Linked DNA regions of Schizosaccharomyces pombe. The protein of the gene in region 1 interacts with the protein of each later gene in a pairwise test. Each region holds a gene or a part of one and is shown in the gene's direction. Other genes may lie near its edges.

Region 1 (5,290 bases):
AGCGAAAGAAATAAACATGGAAAAGAGAGTATAATACTAGCGTAACGAATAACTAATACCAAAAGTTCGTGATGAGCTTCCGCGTAGACATTTATAAGTTGTGCAATGCCTCAGTTGTTCTTATGCCTAATTTCTATTCACTATTAATAAACGCTCGATGTTTTATTTTGCTAGAAGCTTCACCACGCGATTAAACATGTAAACAACTATATACTCAATCTATCTGTCAATATAAAATCTACTGATAAAGGAGTACATAAACATAGATAAGATGCATAAATCCAAAAACTTTATGCTTAGAAATAAATGTAAACAAACGAATTTAACCAATGTTTTCAATGTAATTTTAAGTTAAAGTTTGCAGAAACAGAGAATTCTAGAAAGTAGGAAAACTGTAGAACTATCAGTTTCAGCTTTTACTAAACTCGTAAAGACTTACTTTTGCGTATTTTATAACCAATGTTAATAGTGAATTTGACGGACAAAAGTGAATTCTGCCACACCCTCCTCATATATGCCCTCAAGTCTGATATTTATTCAGTTGGAAGGCATAGCTAGTCTGTATGAATTTAGAATCTTGGAGTAAAGCCATTGCGGCACCTACCTTTTGGCGGGAACTATTGTGGCGATACGAACGGAACCCGAGTATCAGATGATGTAAAGTGTTAATATTCCTTAACAGGACCCAGAATCAAAACAACACCAGTACTACGCAGAGATCTACCTTTACCAACTGGATATAATATTGAATATGATACAACTAACCCATTCTTAATATGAGATTGTTTTCTATTATTCATAAATTTATGTTCATTTGCTTTGTAAAGTCCAATCACTTCATTTGTTTGGTTCCATGAAACAACAGCATGATTTGTGTACAAACATCTAAATACGTATATGCATTTGCCTCTCCAAATATCCCTGCAGATCCTATATCGACATGACATGATACTGTCAATCCTTTAGCTTGGAAAATGTATATAAAGGCACCCTACTCTCACCTTTTTTACCACTTTAAGCGTGCTTGAGACAATCGACTTTCAACAACTCATATCACCCTAACAAACTTTCAACGATGGAACACACTACCCAATGTAAGAGCAAACAAGGCAAGCCTTGCGACTGCCAATCCAAGTGCGGTTGCCAAGATTGCAAAGAGTCTTGTGGTTGCAAGAGCAGCGCTGTTGATAACTGCAAGTGCTCTTCTTGCAAATGTGCTTCGAAGTAATCTATATGAGATTTACGGACTGTAGTTCTGGCCTTGACGAAATATTTCATCCATAAAGCAATGTCCGCCTCGTCTTATTGTTTTTCGAAGCATCAGTCGAGAAAACAATACTATTATGGACCAACGAATCGCCCTGATGTCTTGATCCTACTACATTGCTACTTTTTTACAGAGCATTCTTACTTACAACTCAACTCTTAAGATATGATTGTTATGAATAATAATGAAATCATAAATTGATTTATTTTCAACAGCTATTTTTGCTTAGCGTAGAGTAAGGGCATCATCTTCTTGGAAAATCGTCCACTATTGTGGATTCTTTTCCACAATAAATTAGTTTTATGTGCAAAAAAAGATACTCTGTATCAATTCAACCAAAATTATGTCTTAATATTTTAACGGCACTAACGAACGTTTGTTTCTTCCTTCTATACCATTGCTAAGTTAAGCTCTGTAAAGCAAATGTATACATTATATTTGGGTAACTACGGAATCTATTTTTCATAGCGAACGCTAATAGCGCGTAATCCTTTAAACTGTTTAATACTCATTATAATATAATTACGATAGTGAACTACAATGCTACGCGACAAAATTCACTTCCAGAATTAACTGAAAGGTAACTTGAACATAGAAGTTGTAGATCTGTAATTTTATACTTGGTAAGAGGGAAATTAATAAGAGAGTCAGTTGGGAAAAATTTTAATACGTTTCCTTGTTTAAAATTGTTGAGTTTGTATTCTTCTAATATATTACTTTGCTGCTTGGACCAACTCTCATTGTTCTATATTAAGCCTCTTTTCCCGTCCTTTTCTTCCTTCATCTATCTTTCAGGGCTCAGCAGTTCAGTCACTATAATTGAGTGTCTGCTAGCTTCTTCGTTCTTTCTAATTACAACGTGCTAACAAATCGATTTTGTCTGTTTTGTGAGAATATTATATCCTGTATACTCATCTTTCATAAAAACGACAGCGTTTTCAAAGTGTTTGGAAATTAATTATTGATTCATTTACAATATATTGCTTTCTTTAAATCCGTGCCATTCTTTTTGCCTTTTCTTCATACATTCCTTTTGCTATCTCGGATCTTAATTCATATACCCTTACAGTAGGTTATCGCTTTAACAGTTTGTCTGTAATTATAATTTCCACTTGATCGTTTTATGAAAATTAAGTTAAATCTTTTTGTTGCAGGGAATTCTAATAGTTAGAATCTTTCTGAGATTATTGTAATATAATTTCAAATTTTGTTCTACTACCTTCTTTCTTTTTGTTCTAATTCCAGTCTCTATGTTAAAGGTATGCTTCAAAAAAAATTTTTTGTTAATTAATCAATTATTAACCATCTCTAGATTAAAAGGACTTGGAAAACTCATAGTCGAATTCTTGATAAAGATCCTTTTTCAATTGAACCCCCGAGAAAAGTTATTAGGGCCCTTTATGATTACACAGCTCGTAAAGCAACTGAAGTTTCATTTGCCAAGGGTGACTTTTTTCATGTTATAGGTCGTGAAAATGACAAGGCTTGGTACGAAGTTTGTAATCCCGCTGCAGGTACTCGTGGCTTTGTTCCAGTATCTCATTTTGAAGAGATAGGAAAAACGGTCAAATCGGAACGAGACAGTGATGGCAGCGGGCAAATATCATTTACAGACTTAACCACCAATTCTAGTACCACTAGGAGCTCAATCAGTGAACTCCATTCTGGTTCACAGCCGCTATTTGGAATTGTGCAATTCGATTTTGCTGCTGAACGACCAGATGAACTTGAAGCCAAGGCGGGTGAGGCTATTATAATTATTGCTCGGTCAAATCATGAGTGGTTAGTAGCCAAACCTATAGGACGATTAGGGGGTCCAGGTCTCATTCCTCTTTCATTTATACAACTTCGAGATTTAAAAACCGGAGCTGTGATAAAAGACGTTAGTGAGGCTGTTTTACGTATTTCTTGCATACCTCGTGTAGAGGATTGGAAACGTGCGGCTGCTGATTATAAAAAGAGTAGTATTCCTTTAGGGAAATTCAGTGATGGTGAAACTCAAACTATGCCTAGCTTAAGTCCAAGCACTGAAAATTTACAAATTAATAACGATGTTACATATCAAGCTGCTACTGACAATTCAAGCACTTTTCCTGGTTCCGTCGCTAACGAATTAACACCTCTGCAAACATTGGAGTCGCGTACGGCTAGCATCGCTTCTAAGAACAAGAAAGACATGTCTTCTGAACCTACCGTTGTTGCTGCAATGGTGGAAAACTACATGATTCGCGATGACCAATATTGGTATTTGGTCCGTGCCGTTATGAGTGATGGAAAACATCGAAACCTTTGTAGATATTACGAAGACTTTTTTAATTTCCAGACGAAGTTTTTAGAGTTATTTCCTAATGAAGCTGGTCGTGGGGACGAAAGACGAGTTATTCCTTACATGCCCGGTCCAGTTGATGACGTTAATGAATTAATATCTTCACAAAGGGCAATGGATTTAGATGTATATCTGAAGGAAATGTGCAGGCTTCCAGCTCGTTTACTCGAAAATGAACTCGTCAAACTTTTCTTCTTACCGCTTGACGGAGACGTTGAGTCCCCTCATCCAACTAGTACGATGCCTGAAGCCTTACCCAGAGAACCGTTAAGTTTCTCTTTGCCAGAGAAAGCTCCTGAAAAAGCTACTAATATCTCTATTCCCGAATCAGCTCCGACTACTGCAGGTTCGACATGCAAAGTTAAAGTCAGATTAGGAGATGAAACCTTTGCTTTGCGCGTTCCCTCTGATATCTCATTTGAAGATTTTTGTGAACGATTGACTAATAAACTCGGAGAATGTGAACATTTGTCATACAGAGATACGAACGCGAATAAAGTATTACCTCTTAATAATGTTGACGATTTACGGAAGGCATGTTCTCAAGAATCAGGAGTTTTACTTTTTGCAGAAAGACGGAGGTTTTGAGACTATGTATATTTAAAGATTTGGGTTTCTTATTACGTTCTTGCATTTTATTTTTTTTTCGTTTCGTTCTTTCATGGTTTACTTTTATTAATTTAATTTCATCGGTATAATAGCTTTCTTTATCTTTCTAATATATCTGTCTGTTTTTTCGAGAGGTATGCGTTTTTGGATAGTATTTAATCACGACCGAATAAGATGCAAAATGTTTATTCTCCTTATATATTAGCTTTCTTGGAGGTAAAATAAACAAAAAATCTCAACTATGCACTCCCTTTTTGTTCACAATCATTCAATTGAATATTTTCATTAGTTGTTTGATACTGTTCCTCCAAACATATATGTATTTGACGTATTTCAAAAGGGGATAAAGGTAAGCCTAAGTAGTAAAATAAAAACGTTTTTATTGCGAGAAGTTCAACATTTCTTGACAACGTCTTAATCAGCTGAATCAACGCAGATTTGGTAATACAATATCATGTCGCAGTAATAAATTGGTTCATATGAACCAGCTACAATATCGATCACGTATATTATATACAGCCAATTTGGTAAAGGCAATTTTGCAAACTACCTGTTGATTCATTAAACAATTAGATATTGGAAGCCGGAAACGCTTTCTTCTATACATTTACTTCATTTATGTATACATTATTTCTTACATTTAATGTGACCACAAGTAACATGCTGCATACATTTAATCCAATACTAAAGACGCTTTATCTTGTTAGTTTATCTAAAATATTGCTTTACTACATGCATACTTTCCTTAATGCTTATCAAATTTCAAAAATAAAAAATGCTCATATAATTTCCTTTTCCGTATACTTAGAATGGTGGCATCTAAAATAGCGGTAGAAAATAGTACCTGTTGAAGTGACAAGTAGTGAACGCCCAACCTTCGATATAGATCAAAAAACAATAAATTACAGCTGTGCAGTTGCTTTTATTTCAACATTGCAAAAACACATGTTAAATTAAAATTTTTTTTTAAAGATTCCCTCACTTTAATACTTCCTCCTTTTAATTTATACCTGTATGATTAATTCATGAGAACGTATTCTTTACATAGACATGGACGCTGAAGCCTTAAGGAATTTGTATTTGTCATC
Region 2 (5,225 bases), 2.2 Mb from region 1:
AAGGTATATGCGTATGAAGTAGATGGTTATGGCAGCATTTTATTTATGGATGACGCCAATGTTCCTTCTCTATTGTCTTTACCTTATCTTGGATTTGTAGAACGTGATGACCCTGTATATGTTAATACGAGGAAGATGATTTTATCTTCAGAAGGAAATCCTTACTACCTTAAGGGAAAAGTTATCTCCGGTATTGGTGGTCCTCACATTGGTTTGAGGAACGTTTGGCCCATGAGTCTCATTGTTCAAGCCCTGACTTCTGATGACGACGATGAAATCATGTCTTTGCTTGATGTTTTAAAGCATTCAACTGCTGGTTTAGGCTTAATGCATGAGTCTGTTGATGTTTCGAGTTTTAAAAGCTTTACTCGACCCTGGTTTTCATGGGCTAATTCATTATTTGCCGAGTTGATTTTAGATTTACTTGAACGCAAGCCTCACTTGTTAAAGAAGAATGCATCATGAAACTCATGATTATAAATAATTATAACTTTTGTGAATCAATTTGGACTGTTTAGATGCAACTTCGACTTGACTGAACTGGAGCTACTAATCTCATAAAATGGATTGGATTCAAAAAGTTTTATTTGATATTGTTTTAATGAAATTTTATGCAATTTTCTCATGTCTGATTTTTTATACTATATTCAAATTGTTACGACAAACTATTTATGATGTCCACTATTGGTTTAATACAAGCCGTCTTTTGTTAACATTAAAAAGAAGGTAGAATAGAGTAGCAAATCCTTTAATTATCTCTACAACTTTTCTTATAAATGCTTAAATCTAGACTACAACACTAAAATTCGTATGTATTATTGCGATTCTCTCACTTATCATTCATAAGATATCCTCAGTATTATTAAAGTAATTACTAAAAATTACGCAGCTATCACTTTCTAATTTATATTTAGTCAAGAAATAATGGAAGTGTTTTCGGAACAAAGAATCTCAAATAAACTATAAATAGACTATCTGACTAAACTTCCATCCCCGTTGGCCAGACTCATCCTTCCCCATTCTACTAAATTAATAAAGAAAAGAAAAAAAGCAACTATTACTTTCTTCTTTTCCAATATTACTATTATATACATTCGCATACTCTTGATTTATTTACTCTTACGATTCTCGTATTCGTTTTAACGAGGAGATATATTGTTAAATTTAGTTAAGGCATCGTTGGAAATTTTACCTACAGTTTCGCATTACTCGGTGGACTCTGTAAGTTAGATTCAGAAAATGTCAGACTAGTGTGTTTGAAAAGGGATAGCCTTCTTAGAGCACAATGGATTCAGTCAAACCTATTGTCAAATTGGAGCAAGCAGGAAGCTCAAACTTAGAGAAAGCTTCTTTGCTTCCTTGCCATATATCTTACGACGGCCCTGCGCCCGTTTTCGAGTATTTTCATGACAAAATCCAAATTTCGAACAATACGCATTCGAAAACAACAGTATGTTTGCGTGGACGCGAATTAAATGGAGAAGAACTAGATCTTCCAGAAAACTATACAGGGCAAGTTGTACTATGCGATGATGGACTAGAGAATGACGAAACCTCAGAAAAGGAAATCCCTGAATCCACCTGGTGTATCAATTCAACGTTCGAAAAAGTCATGTTGTGGAATCGTGACAATATGAGGAGCTCAGAAAAAGATCAATGGAAACGAGGAGTCCTTGAGTGGATTCAATTTGCTTCCAAGGTAAAGTTCAACTGTAGTTTGTATAATTAAGGATATATTGTTTACAAATGTTCATACTAACTTCGACCAGGTCGCGGACACCAAATGAACTCTCATCTTACTTTTGCTGTTCATCACTAACAGTTCTCAATATTCCATGTTGGATATTTAATTACTTCAAGGAGATGCTGGCGCAGGCATCCGTTGGGATCATTTAATAAGCGGGAAATTTATCGAATCTTCTGAACTCTTTAACTTTCAAAGATAAGCATCTATGAGCAATACCCGAATACATCAAAAATCCTTTATTTCTAATCAACAATAATATTGATTTACCTTCTTTCTATATCTTCTTAAGAATTTCAGGAATTTTTCGTTACCTACGGACGTTACCTTGAGAGTAACACTACACTTATCAGTTTTGGTACAAACCTAACAGCTATTGTAAAGTATATCCATCTTGATTGTTGAAAAATTGGACTTGCTTTTGTATTTTAATTAACAAAAGGGAAGTAATAGCTTTATTTATCAAACAATTTCCTCGAATTACACTCCAATTATTCGTTCTTTTTGTTTGGGTGTTAGTTCGATTGTCTACTTCTGTTTATCATTCTCGCTTTTCATGTTCGAAAAGTTTGTATTTTATGGTCGCTTTCTCTTTTTTCTTCTTTGTTGATTTACTTTTTTTTGTATGCTTTCCAATTCTACATTCCATGAACATCACGCAAAAAGCCACTTTCACAATAATGCCTGCCAAAGCAATGCGTCTTCGTCTGCCTGTAGAGCTTCTGAGGATCATTTAGTTTCTTCTTTTCCTAATGACTCTATAATTGACTTGCAGCCTTCGCGACCTGCCCCAGAACCACCAAAAAAGAAGTTTGGATACTATGCTCGTCGTCTGAGTGGTCACTTCCTTTCATTAATTCATGGGTCTGGTAATAGTACTCGTAGTCCTCCTTTCCATTTGCAAAACCAAAAATCGAATGGACAATCGGAAGTCTGGCATTCATCTGATGATTCAGGCAGTCCTAAACGACTAAATAGATCACGATCTTCAAAAGAAGACATGTATAGACGCAGGAGTTTACATGGACTACCATCGTTATCTCGTAGAAATTCTAAAAAATCTTCTACTCTTTCTCGATCAATATCTTTACACCTCAGAAGTGAATCAGCTCCTATTTCCCTCCCCATTCATCTATATAAGTCTTACTCCTATAATCATAGTCCGAGCAGTCTTCCAACTGTTCTTAATTCCCAAGCATTAAGTTCTCCCCCAGTCCCCACTACGCCTGATGAAGTTTCAACCAACAGACTTTCATCTTCTACTTCCTCAATGAATTGCCGAAATTTAGTACCCGATAATTTCAACATCTCGATTCGTCCTAATACTACTAACTATCGGTCGTCCATACAGGAAAACTCAAATGGTAACAGAGATAGCATTTCACCTTCCGCTTATGATGCTCCATTACTACACAACGTAGATACACAATCCATAGATGGGTTTGTGTCAGTAGCTTCGCATTTTAGCAGTGCTTCTACTGCTGAAAGTCTGGACGATGGGCATTCCGCAACGACAATACAACAAGGCGATGTTTCTTCGTATCCTTTATCTCGATCTGTCTCTACTCCAGTTCCTATGTCTCCAATTAGTATTAGTCCTGCCAAGCCTAGTCCACAAAGCCCAAAACTTTCACAATCTGCTGTCGGTCATCCAAGTAGTTCAATCCCTGCTGCAGCTATGCATAAAGTTTCATATTCTGATGATCTAATGCGTTTCGTTGCACGAGAAAAGTATTACCTACAGATAGTAGACTGCCTTTGCACACAAAAAGATCCATTGTTCTTCTATACCGACTTTACCAAAATATGCCAACAAGATACAGTTGGAACCTACGTTGCTCGTCAAACTCTGGATAAAGAAGTGGTTGTAATTAAACGGTTTGACATTTCAGCTGTAACTCATAGGAGGCTTTTACTCGAAGAATTGCAGCGATTATCTGGTCTCTCTCACAAAAATTTAATTCGTTATAACGAGAGTTTTTGGTATCTGAACAATATTTGGTCGGTCTTTGAATATAAAGACCCAAGCACCAAGTTGTCAGCTTTAATCCCCAAATATTTTTTTAGTGAGTTAAACATAGCTTCCATATGTTATGAGATAAGTTCTGGTCTTGCATTTCTTCATAATAGTGGGATAGCTCATCATAACCTTACTACCGAATGCATATATCTCACGAAAAGCAGTTGCCTTAAAATTGGCAATTATGCATTTTCTTCGCCATACATTGAAAGACAGACTAACCGTGGAGCAGTATCTCATGTTCCTGACTGGTTAATTGAAAAGAATTATAAAGAAGGATTTATGAAGGATGTTAAAAGCTTGGGCTTAGTTGCTCTTGAAATTTTTCAAGGTCAGCCAAACTTTTTTCGTAAATCTATTCAATCCATCCAACTAACTCCGAATGCAAATGTTTTAGTCAACCGAGTTCGTGGATTAATTAGCCAAGAATTTAAGGAATTCCTTTTACAAACCTTGCAAGCCGAAACATTACAAGGCCCTAATATCAATATGTTGTTGGAAACTTCTAGTTTTTTGGAAAAGCGACAAACGCTCAATTTTGAAATTTGGTAAGTTTTCAGTTTTGGAACACTTTTGTTTATATCCAATTCTAACCTTTTTTTTTAGCCTAAACAATCTTAATTTGCGAGAACGAAAGGCATCTCGCTACAGTTATCTATGATTACCAATGAAGAAAATCAAATTATTCGCCATAGAAAAAATATTGCTAATTTAATAACCCATTAAATTCCCTCCTTACTTTTAAAAGGAAAAGTTGTGTTTGCTTTGCTTGTCAGTAACTTGATACTATACGATGTTGCTTAACAACAAAAATTGGCTTTGTTAATTGAATGTCATATTATCATTTGTGAGTTCAATAATTTAATTATCATTAGTGAGAACAATACGAAAAAAGTTCTTATGTTAAATGGATGTAACAGACATAAATGCATAAACTGAGGAAGGTCGTAAAAAGTAATCATTTTATGGATGCTTTGGGCACAAATTTCTGCACTTCAATCGAATTCCTTTGTGCCTCTTTTTCACACCAGCGCTCAAAATTTACCAAAGACAACAACCTAGACTCATTTGATAATCCTTGAGACTTCAATATACTAACGTTGGCAAGGTTTGCAACACGCTCACGTTGGCTGTAATTCAAAACATTTTTCAAGGCAGGGCTGTAGGAAGAAGGAGGAAAACATAAAAGCGACATTGTCAACTCTAAAGAATTCAAAAACTTTTGATTTGAGGGTGCTAAAGGTGCTAAATTTTCATGTGCAAAGTTTAAACATCTTTCTACCGCTAAATCAGAGGTATCTTTCTCTTCAACAACTTCTCGTATCAATTCAAGCAATCTCAATCGTAATAATTCAAACAGAAGTTCTGAATTTGTGTCCAAAATCTATGTAGCTGTTAACTCGTAATCCTTACTTGCTTTCAGCATACCTCTGGCTCCAATTCATTCAGTTTGCATATTGC

What was found.
Region 2: the proteins of scd2 (region 1) and tea5 interact in a two-hybrid assay, tested with the Schizosaccharomyces pombe proteins (one study listed by BioGRID).

Annotation. Positions count from the first base shown.
Region 1 is NC_003424.3:2,380,655-2,385,944, forward strand, and holds scd2 (Cdc42 GTPase complex scaffold subunit Scd2), read left to right. Parts: upstream 1-1,849; 5' UTR 1,850-2,517; coding exon 2,518-2,526; exon of another isoform or gene 2,527-2,579; coding exon 2,580-4,181; 3' UTR 4,182-4,499; downstream 4,500-5,290. Other genes in the region: SPOM_SPAC22H10.06C (uncharacterized protein), read right to left, coding at 666-947; metallothionein Zym1, read left to right, coding at 1,076-1,228; SPOM_SPAC22H10.08 (uncharacterized protein), read left to right, coding at 5,253-5,290. UniProt on the Schizosaccharomyces pombe protein: Required for mating and morphogenesis. Interacts directly with scd1 and with cdc42. May bridge and facilitate scd1 and cdc42 interactions.
Region 2 is NC_003424.3:4,596,767-4,601,991, reverse strand, and holds tea5 (serine/threonine protein kinase Ppk2), read left to right. Parts: upstream 1-2,115; 5' UTR 2,116-2,369; coding exon 2,370-4,312; intron 4,313-4,370; coding exon 4,371-4,425; 3' UTR 4,426-4,526; downstream 4,527-5,225. Other genes in the region: protein mug157, read left to right, coding at 1-465; rnh203 (ribonuclease H2 complex subunit), read left to right, coding at 1,286-1,729; gid8 (ubiquitin ligase complex subunit protein), read right to left, coding at 4,723-5,148, 5,193-5,225.